Linked DNA regions of Sus scrofa. The protein of the gene in region 1 binds, or shares a complex with, the protein of each later gene. Links are inferred from orthologs where the notes say so. Each region holds a gene or a part of one and is shown on either strand. Other genes may lie near its edges. The genes, in order: GRM5 and HOMER1.

Region 1 (4,382 bases):
GTGAAAGCACTGTGCTTTCAGCACCACCCGCTGTCCCCCCTCTTCCAGCAGCTGGCGCCCCGGTCGCCGCAACTAACCGATCTCCCGGGAAGCGGTTCTCCTTCCTCTTCCTCTCCACCTTCGCTCCTCTGAATTCGGAGCCCTCGGGTGGTTCGCGGGAGGCCAGTCTGCAATCTAAACGCCCGCACCTGGCCTTAATGAGCGGGAACTCGTATCCGAAGGCATGCAGAATCCCCTTCTCAGTCCTTGCGGCCATTCCCTTCTTTATCCCATTGCTCTTATCCTTCTCCCCAACAGGTTTAACTGAAGCCATCCACAAATGGAGCAGACTTCAGCCTCGAGGCTCTGGCCACCCCCGCTCCACCCTCGTCCCCCTCCTCCAAACCAGACAGTGAGCTACCCAACAAGCTGATAGCTGCCACATCCTTCCCCTCCCGGGAACACTTGGGCACACAGACACTTAGCAAGCTTACCCCCCTGTTGGCCGCACAGCGGGCGGTGAAGTGCGGTCTAGCTAGCCCCCCATAAAGTTGGGCCCCTCGGATCAGCGGGGCAGAGCTGGCCTCTCCAGTCCCGGGCTCCCCCACAAGATGATCTTAAGCTCATCTTCTGCGCTCAGTCTGCGCAGAACAGCAGAGCTGAGGGCGGCGGCGCGTGCAGCAATCTCCCTGTTACTGAGAAAGGGGGGAAGGGGAGAAGGGGAGAGCGCGGAGGAGGGAGGGGTGGTAGTTTGTATTTATAGAGAACAGAGTTCTCAGCGCAACTTTTTGGTGCCACCAAGTGGCACAGTGAGTTCCTTTAGGAACACAGACTTCGGGTGGAATCCGGATGGGTAAAGCAGCTCCACAGCCAGATGTTCACATGTGGGGGGACTGGGAAACATCCCCAAGGCTTGGGTTTTCCCACGGATGCTTTCTCATCTCCATGCCTAGGACTCAGATCCTTAAATTCTAAGGAGGAGCTTGTTGGGGGGTGGGAGGGGGGAATGTGCACCTGTTCCCTCTTCAGACAAGTGGCAGAGGTGTCAAGGACACTGAGCAGATGCCGGTAGCCTTCTAGGAGTCTAGGGACCCTTGTGTTGGTTAGAATGTTTCTTGCCCTCTCCCAACCCTTCTGTTCAGATTACGGTATTCTCAAATCTCACTCTTCAACAATAGTTATCCTGAGAACCCAACCTCTAAGGGATGCCATTCATTTTCCTTCTGCTAGAATCAATTCCAGATGACTTCCCAAACCCTCATTCAAAGAGCATCACGGCTTGCCACCAAACCCCCTTCTTTAATTGCTACCTTTTAAAAAGCATGTGACTTCAGGCTCTGTGGATCGGAACCTCTCCAAACAGCACTCAGAACTCCAGGTTCTCTTGGCTACAGGCTAGGTGTTTGAGTGTCCTTCTCACCCATTTCTACAGACCTCTTGGCATGCATTACACCAACAGCACAGCTAGGAGCTTGCAAATGCCTTTGCTACTTTGAGGGAGAATGCTCCAAAGCTTCCTTTATCTGGATTTTCGAGGTGCTCTTCCTCCCTTGTATGCAGATCCTCAAACCCATACAATCATAGACAGACATTGAGTGGGACCTTAATGTCCCAAAACACAGAAAAGCCTCTACATTTTGCAGACTGAGAAACCCAGTACACAGAGGTTAAGAGACTTGTTCAAGGTCACATATTTTCCTAGAGGCTAGCCCAGGGACTACCCAGGGTGATACTAAATGAAAACAGTGATGCCAAACCCGACTTTCAAGCTCCTGCTCCTTCTACCATCCCACACAGCCCATTCGGTCACATTCCGCTCCTTTCTCCACCCCGGCTCCCTCTGTATCCCTCTTTCTGACCCCACCTTTTGCCAAAGTCCCATAAAGGAACCTAGAGTAAGGATGTCTTCCTAACCCCGCTGGGAGTACATAAACTTGAGCTTAATAGGGCCAGAGTTGCAGGTGTTCCCCCTTAAAATGGCCCCTGTTCTAGAAAACCTCTCCTTCCCAGTAGTGTAGTCATGGAAGTGTCATTTTGGAAATGGAACACTGGCATTTACACCCAACCAGGTCCTTCTTTTGCTGTCTCTTTTCAGGGCGAAGCACCAGCAAATGCTCTTATTAGCCCCGAACCGACACCTAATGGCTTCAAAGATGGAGAAGCCCCCTCCCCTCCTTTGGTAAATGCACCCTTTCGTGCATATGTATCGGTATGCGAGAAAGAGAGAGATGTCCAAACGTTCCCTTTGGCTCAGATGTTGATTTTTTTTTCTCCTCTGATTTTTTTAGTTCGTTTTCTATGGAAACGAGCCCACTTAAATTCCTCACTTATGTAAATACAAGCAAAAAGATTTTCATAAACCTCGCCTTGGAGCGACGCCCCGGTAGCCTGGGCTCCCGACGAAAGAGTCATGTCTGATTCACACACCACACGTCCTTGTAGGGTGACTTTTCTAAACTTGCAGGACCTCACAGCGTCCCTGGCTCCACCAGTTCTCCACCTGCCCACCACCTGCCCTCCTAGGTCCCTGAGCCCAAGCTCCCGCCCCTTGCCGGACTGCTCTCCATCCCTGCGCTGGGGGAGGGGCCCCGGAGGTCTCCTACCTCCGCGGCGACCCTAGAGCCAAAAGAAAGAAAAACGCGCGGTGCTTACCAGGTGCGCGCCCGGAACCTGGCGCCCCCAGCCACTCGCTCCTCGCGGGCTCCCCGCGCTCTCGGAGCGGCCTGGGTTGCAGCTAGAGCGCTAGTGGTGGCGACGGAGGCAACGGAGGCAGCAGGCAGAGCGGCTCCCGGGCCCGCGGCGGCGGCGGCGGCGGCGGCGCCCGCGCTCTTGCGCCAGCGCCGGGAGCACGTGCCGCGCTCGGGCAGACGCAGCTGGCAGCGCAGCGCCGGGCGGGCTCCTGCTCCTGCAGCGCGCGGCGGGGGCGGGAGAACGATCGGGGCGCGCACTCAGTGGTTGACAAGGGTCTTGAAGCCTAGTAGTCATGGGGTTCGGGCGAGGGTAGCCTCGGGCTCCCTCTGCAGCTCCTTGGGAAGCCTCTGGGAGCCGCGGAAGGAGAAGAGCTATGCAGGGAGGCGTGGGTGGCGTGTCACTCTGAGAGAAGCTGGGGGAGCAGGTAGATAATCAGCTTCTTTCTGACGGTGGCACTTAAACCCCTGACAATGATTGGGAGAAGGGGCGTCTCTGCTGGAGGGGAGAAGGTACCGGGAAGTCAGGGAACCCCAAGATGATTCAGAGGTGTGAGTGGTTAGAAAGAACGGTCTCTCTAATGGCATTACTTATTAATAATGCCATTTTGCATTTGTCTGCACCTCTTACAAATGAGTCTTTCTACATCCATTAAAATTTCTTCCCCCCCGCAGCAATTAAATCTTTTACTTCCTTAAATGGATTTGCTCCCCTTCTCACTACTACCCCTGAAACTGACCGAGATTGTTTAAAAAAAAAAAAATGCTGAGATTATCTTTGAATTCCAAAAGCAGTCTTCCATTCTACTTCCTCAAAAAAAAAAAAAAAGGTATAAATTAATCGTATGGCTTAATGCAAAGAAAGGAAAGGCCTTGCAGCAATATGATGTTTATTACCACCAGAGTTTCCCGAGCCACGTGCTTGCAGCAATTGGGTGAAAGGTTAAAAGATGAAGACACTGAAGTCAGGAGGTCGTTTATAATGTATACATTGCTAATGTAGATTTCCCACAAGACCCTTGAAAGCAAGGCAAGTTGTTCTTTGATAGCTTCAATATTCAACAAGAAAGAGATACGGATCTATCACACCTTGTTGATCTTGACAGTGGCATCTTTCTTTTCCCCGTTTTCATGTGTACTCTGACGGTGGCATTGTTCATTTTTGAGATTCTTCCATTGCAATCCACAAAGCAAGCTTTATGACTTTGTAGAGAGGCCAGCAAAGCTCTGGTTGATCCTCTTGCATAAGAAAGATGAGAAAGGTGGTATAGATGAGAAAATACAAAAATAGTGAGGAAAATTAAGGTGCATTAATGACTAGATGATTCTGGCCATGTGATTAAGTCTGATGTATAAAATGTTAGTCCATTGGCTGGGGCATAGGCCATGCAAAGTCATAGACTGGATCCTTGGGGAGGGGGGCGGGCACTTAGCTTTGAATGAACGTGGACCACAGTGTTTCCCATCCGTTTTCATCATTAAGAACCAGCTCAGAGCACTCAAGTGAGTAGGCAGGGCCTATGTAAGAAGGGGTTCTCACGGTGTTACTCAGCCGCTTAAACTCTTTCCATTTCCTACACATATTTCCTGCCCTTCTTTCTCTGAGGGTTGTGGAGAGGATGAGACGCGATAAGATATTTCAAAGCATGCCAGAAATGATAAAGCACTCCATAAATGTATTATATAGTTTATCAAGACATATCCAGTTCCTATGCT
Region 2 (4,494 bases), on another chromosome or scaffold:
TTCTTTTAGTACCACTGAAAAGGAAAACAAGATACATTAATGAAAACTCACTCTCAAGATACTAAGCTTACACTAAATGAGAACTTTTTTAAACTATCAGGGATTAGAAACCCCTGTCTAAATGAGTCTGTGATGTTAGCATCCACTTTGGTTCTGCTGAACTAATGGCAAGAGCCCCAAGGGGCTGAAGGACTGTCCACAAGCTCTGCCCCTGCATAACCTCCTCTAAGTAACATTTCCTCATTGGCTCTGGCTCCTTACCCATAAAAAGTGCATTACCAACATTCTGGTAACTGACAGCCAGACTACTCTTTATAGAAGAAACCATTTTTGCTATCATTGGAGTAATTACTTCCTTAGCCAATTTTGAAACAGAAAAAAAAGTATTAGATAAAGAAGCTAAAACTGATACAAACATAAAAGCATCTATCCATACGTAGGAACAGTGACTGATCCTGATAACTTTGTATCGTAGATATTAGCACTTTTAATATCCTCACCCTTAAAACCCAAGAAAGAAGTGAATACATGAATCACAGAGAAACTTACAGATTTAGAAATACTCAAAAAACAAAATTTCACAATCATACCTCCCAGAAATAAACAAGGTAACACTTTAAGGAATGTCTTTCAAATCTTTGTACACATACATAGAATGCACTTTATATAGGTGAGAATACAAAATTTTGCATAATCATTTCTAACTGACCACTGCACCATCTTTGAAAACATTTTTCAGGCTAGCTTCCTACCAGATGAACAGCCTATAGTTTACCCAGAGAGCATATACTAACTACTCTGAATATACTAATACGCTACTAAGTAAAACTAAACAGCAATATTGCCATTAATGTCTTATTTCACCTACATTAACTTAGGGATAGCAATAAATATCAACTTAGCATCAATAAAACACTAAATGAAAGCAACACTGAAAACAGGGAACTAAAATTCTATATATTATCAGTTGACTAGGCAAAAAGGCAGCCTGCAAGACCTAAAACTATTTATTTATTTATTTATTTTAGCACAAAAGAACCTGAAAGATGAGTTTCCGGGTGAGTTGGGAGTCTTCCCATTCAGCCGAATGTATACAGATCCCTGGTAACACTGAGTAAACAAGAGTAGGTGGAATCCTCATTCTGTAAACATCTTGGGAGCTGGCAGGGTGATTAAGCAAAGCACATGAATTTTAACGCTAAAATCCAGATGATAGAGATTCATAACTACAGAGTAGGGCAGAAAACGACAGTTTTACAAAAGAGTAAGCAAAAAGTAAGCACAAAAAGGCAAAAGGATAGGTTAAGCCCACTCAAGTATTACAGTTGGTTCAAAATAATTGTCCTACCTAAATTCAGTCATGTACAGACTTCTCTTCCACAAAGGAACACTGACAGAAATTTTCCAACATGAATACTTTGAGCTCTTTGATAGTCTAATCCACTTAAGATAATTTCCTAGAGACCATTATGTAGAACCTAATGGGGGAAACTGAAAGTAACTAGGGCAGAAAATTCCAACTCGCAAAAAAAAGCCTTATTCAGAACAACCTTAAACTTCGGAAAGGAAACAGAAGGCAGGCAACACTACTTAAGGAGGATCGAGGCATGCTTAAAGATAAAGGTGAAAGGATCCAACAATTTATTGAGAAAAATGATCAGAAAAATAATTGGAGCATCCAGCTAATACCAAATTGCTAGGAATCAGGATTTTTCTGTACACTCAAAATGGGATCTAATTCCCCAGATCCTTTCAATTTACACTGTATATGTGTGCTCCACTAAGAACTCAGTGTTTAAGGAATCAATGTATGGTATCCAGAGAGACACAGACCGGGGTTGGGGCTCTCCCTACACTCCTATCACTGCCCGCTGACAGGGACCAATTAGGAGCGAGCCCTTCTATGGGTGGGGTGGGGTCAAGGACACTCTGCTACAGCCCTCTGGACTCAGGCATGTGAACTCCTGGATCCAGTTGTGCCAACAGACACGACATAATAAATAAACATAACCTAAAGTGACCTTATAAAGGAATGAAAGCTGCTTTGGTATCTGTGATCCTTTAGCATGGTTTTCTGTTTGTGTTTAATTCCTAACTCTTAACTTGGTAATTTTACAAAAAGCCCTCAATTCTTAAAACAGCTCTGCCTTAAGGAACTGGTGCCAACTCTTTTCAAAGATAACATAGAAATGCTTCATGTTTTATGGGAGAACATTAAAAGAAAATGTTCATAAAGCAGAACTATTTTTTGAAGCAAATATTAAGTGTTAAGGGTTTAAAGTGAATTTTCGAAAGCTAGAGAAAATGCAAAGGTAAACTGTACTTTGAAGACAGAGTATTGATTAGACTGCTAATTTTTTGGATTTTATAAATAATTTTATTTTCTGATATAAAAAAGAAAACAGTGACTTTTTGCTTTCATCTAGTAGCCTACCTTAGATAAAATAGTTACGTATTAATGAAACTCAGATCTTAACTAAGTCAAATGTTAGTTTTACATATTTAGAATTCTTTTAGCTATGCAAGAGTCATAATGGGTTAACAATTAATCATAGGGAAAAAAACCTCATGAGAAAGAATAGTTTGGTTTTTTCCTTTGTAAGGTCACTAAAAAGTAATTTAATTTTGCCCCATAAAAGTTCTACTCAATTGTACTTACCAAAGAAGTGAGATTTTTGAAAATTTTTAAAAACAAAATGAGAAATAAATAAAATACAAGTGGAGGGTCATGACAAGCCCCCCCAAAAGATAACAAAGACGTGATTAATTTCAACCTCTCCCCTAAAAAAATGTTGCCTATAACAAGCAGCATTGATAGTTGTCAATTTCATCTTTTTTATCAGGTATTTTATTAGGGAGCATAGAAATGACCAATGTGTTATTAGACTTTTGACAGATGAAAAAAGGAAAATCAAGCTACAATTAAGAGCACAAGTTCACCAATAAATCTCTTTTAAGAGTGATACTGGGAGTTCCCGTTCTGGATTACAAACCTGACTAGAATCCATGAGGATGCTGTTGATCCCTGGCCTTGCTCAGTGGGTTTAAGGATCCGGCTTTGCCGTGAGCTCTGGTGTAGGTCAAAGATGTGGCTCGGACCCTGGGTTGCTGTGGCTGTGGTGTACGCTGGCAGCTGCAGCTTCAGATTCGACTCCTCGTTGGGAATTTCCATATGCTGTGGGTGCAGCCAGCCCTAAAAAGAAAAAAAAAAAAAAAAAAAAAAAAAGAGTGATGATGGACGTCTTAATTTTATAGTATACAGAGAGGTATGTTGTGAAAAATTCAGATTTGTTTGTGCCTAAAAGTAAGACACTAACGATTTTATTCACATGTGGAAGACCATGAGTGATTAGCCTTTCAAGGGTTTTACCTACTCTTGCAATGCTCGGTAAGGTTTGAAAATTTCACCTCGGTTTTTGTAGATGGGCTAAAATGTATAGAAATACTGCTTATCACACAGCAATGCTTTTGAAATGAAAACACCTCCTGAGCCTGAAACCTTATATTGTTTCAAAAGGCACTCAACTTTCCAAACTTCAACAGAGTTTTTTTGATCTCTAGGAAAAATCTCGTTTTTTTTCATGAATCTTGCAAAATACAGGTCACTTTACTCTGTGCCCCGCAGGTCACTACAAACATGCAACACAAACAAGAAGCTGTACATTTCACTCAACTAAACAGATTCTAACTAACTGAGAAATAAAGCTATTTAAAATATCTTCTATTCAGTCACTTAAAAATTCTATCAGGAAATATTTCATACATGGAACTCATTTTCCCTACTCTTTCATCTCATGAGTTGGATTAATCCTAAACAACAAAACAACAACAACAAAAATCAAGTAAGTAAAGATAAATATATCAACTGGACACCAAAGGCCTGGGGAAAAAAACCCAAACACATGGTAAAAGGGAGATTAGACCTTTTGAGATTTAACCACCTTTTCCTTTGAGAGATTTAATCACTTTAAACTGAGTTTACAAACCATGTATAATGATACTTTTGTCAGTCTCTTAACTGCCATGACTAACATGTCTGGTAATTATTCTAAATCAACTTTCATGACTCTCTAATCCCCAAGGAGAAAAGTCACCGCAGTCAGATTTACATTGTGACTTCACCTCAAAATTATTAAATTAATAAATTAGTGTACAGAACCAAAATTAAGAAGTTCCCCTAAAGGTACCTTTCATATATTTATACTTTGAAAAGGGTATTTTTGTGTGTATGCTTATTTGCTCATGACAGGTCTACAAGTATGTTGTGAATGTTTAATAATTCTAGAGTCAAGAAAATTACAAATGAAAGAAAAAAATGAATCAATAAATGTTTTTAAAAGGATTAGGGTCTACATAATGCAATCAATGAAAATCTTTTTTTATATGTGTAGTGTTTATGATTCTTTTTTTTTAATTTAAGTATAGTTGATTACACTGTTATGTTTCAGGTTTACAGCAAAGTGATTCAACTGTACACATTATAATCGAAAGAAC

The links.
Region 2: the proteins of GRM5 (region 1) and HOMER1 are in contact, whole or in part, in a crystal structure (PDB 1DDV), measured with the Rattus norvegicus proteins. The link is inferred for Sus scrofa from reciprocal best matches to the Homo sapiens genes GRM5 and HOMER1. Residues at the interface, in XP_006229721.1 of Rattus norvegicus: Thr1155, Pro1156, Pro1157, Phe1160; in NP_113895.1 of Rattus norvegicus: His12, Phe14, Trp24, Thr70, Ser71, Gln72, Lys73, Phe74, Gly89, Phe90.

Annotation. Positions count from the first base shown.
Region 1 is NC_010451.4:22,435,396-22,439,777, forward strand, and holds the start of GRM5 (metabotropic glutamate receptor 5), read right to left. Parts: upstream 2,806-4,382; 5' UTR 2,632-2,805; intron 863-2,631; exon of another isoform or gene 474-862; intron 424-473; exon of another isoform or gene 78-423; intron 53-77; exon of another isoform or gene 1-52. UniProt on the Homo sapiens protein: G-protein coupled receptor for glutamate. Ligand binding causes a conformation change that triggers signaling via guanine nucleotide-binding proteins (G proteins) and modulates the activity of down-stream effectors.
Region 2 is NC_010444.4:88,242,988-88,247,481, forward strand, and holds the start of HOMER1 (homer protein homolog 1), read right to left. Parts: upstream 3,019-4,494; 5' UTR 1,363-3,018; coding exon 1,349-1,362; intron 1-1,348. UniProt on the Homo sapiens protein: Postsynaptic density scaffolding protein. Binds and cross-links cytoplasmic regions of GRM1, GRM5, ITPR1, DNM3, RYR1, RYR2, SHANK1 and SHANK3.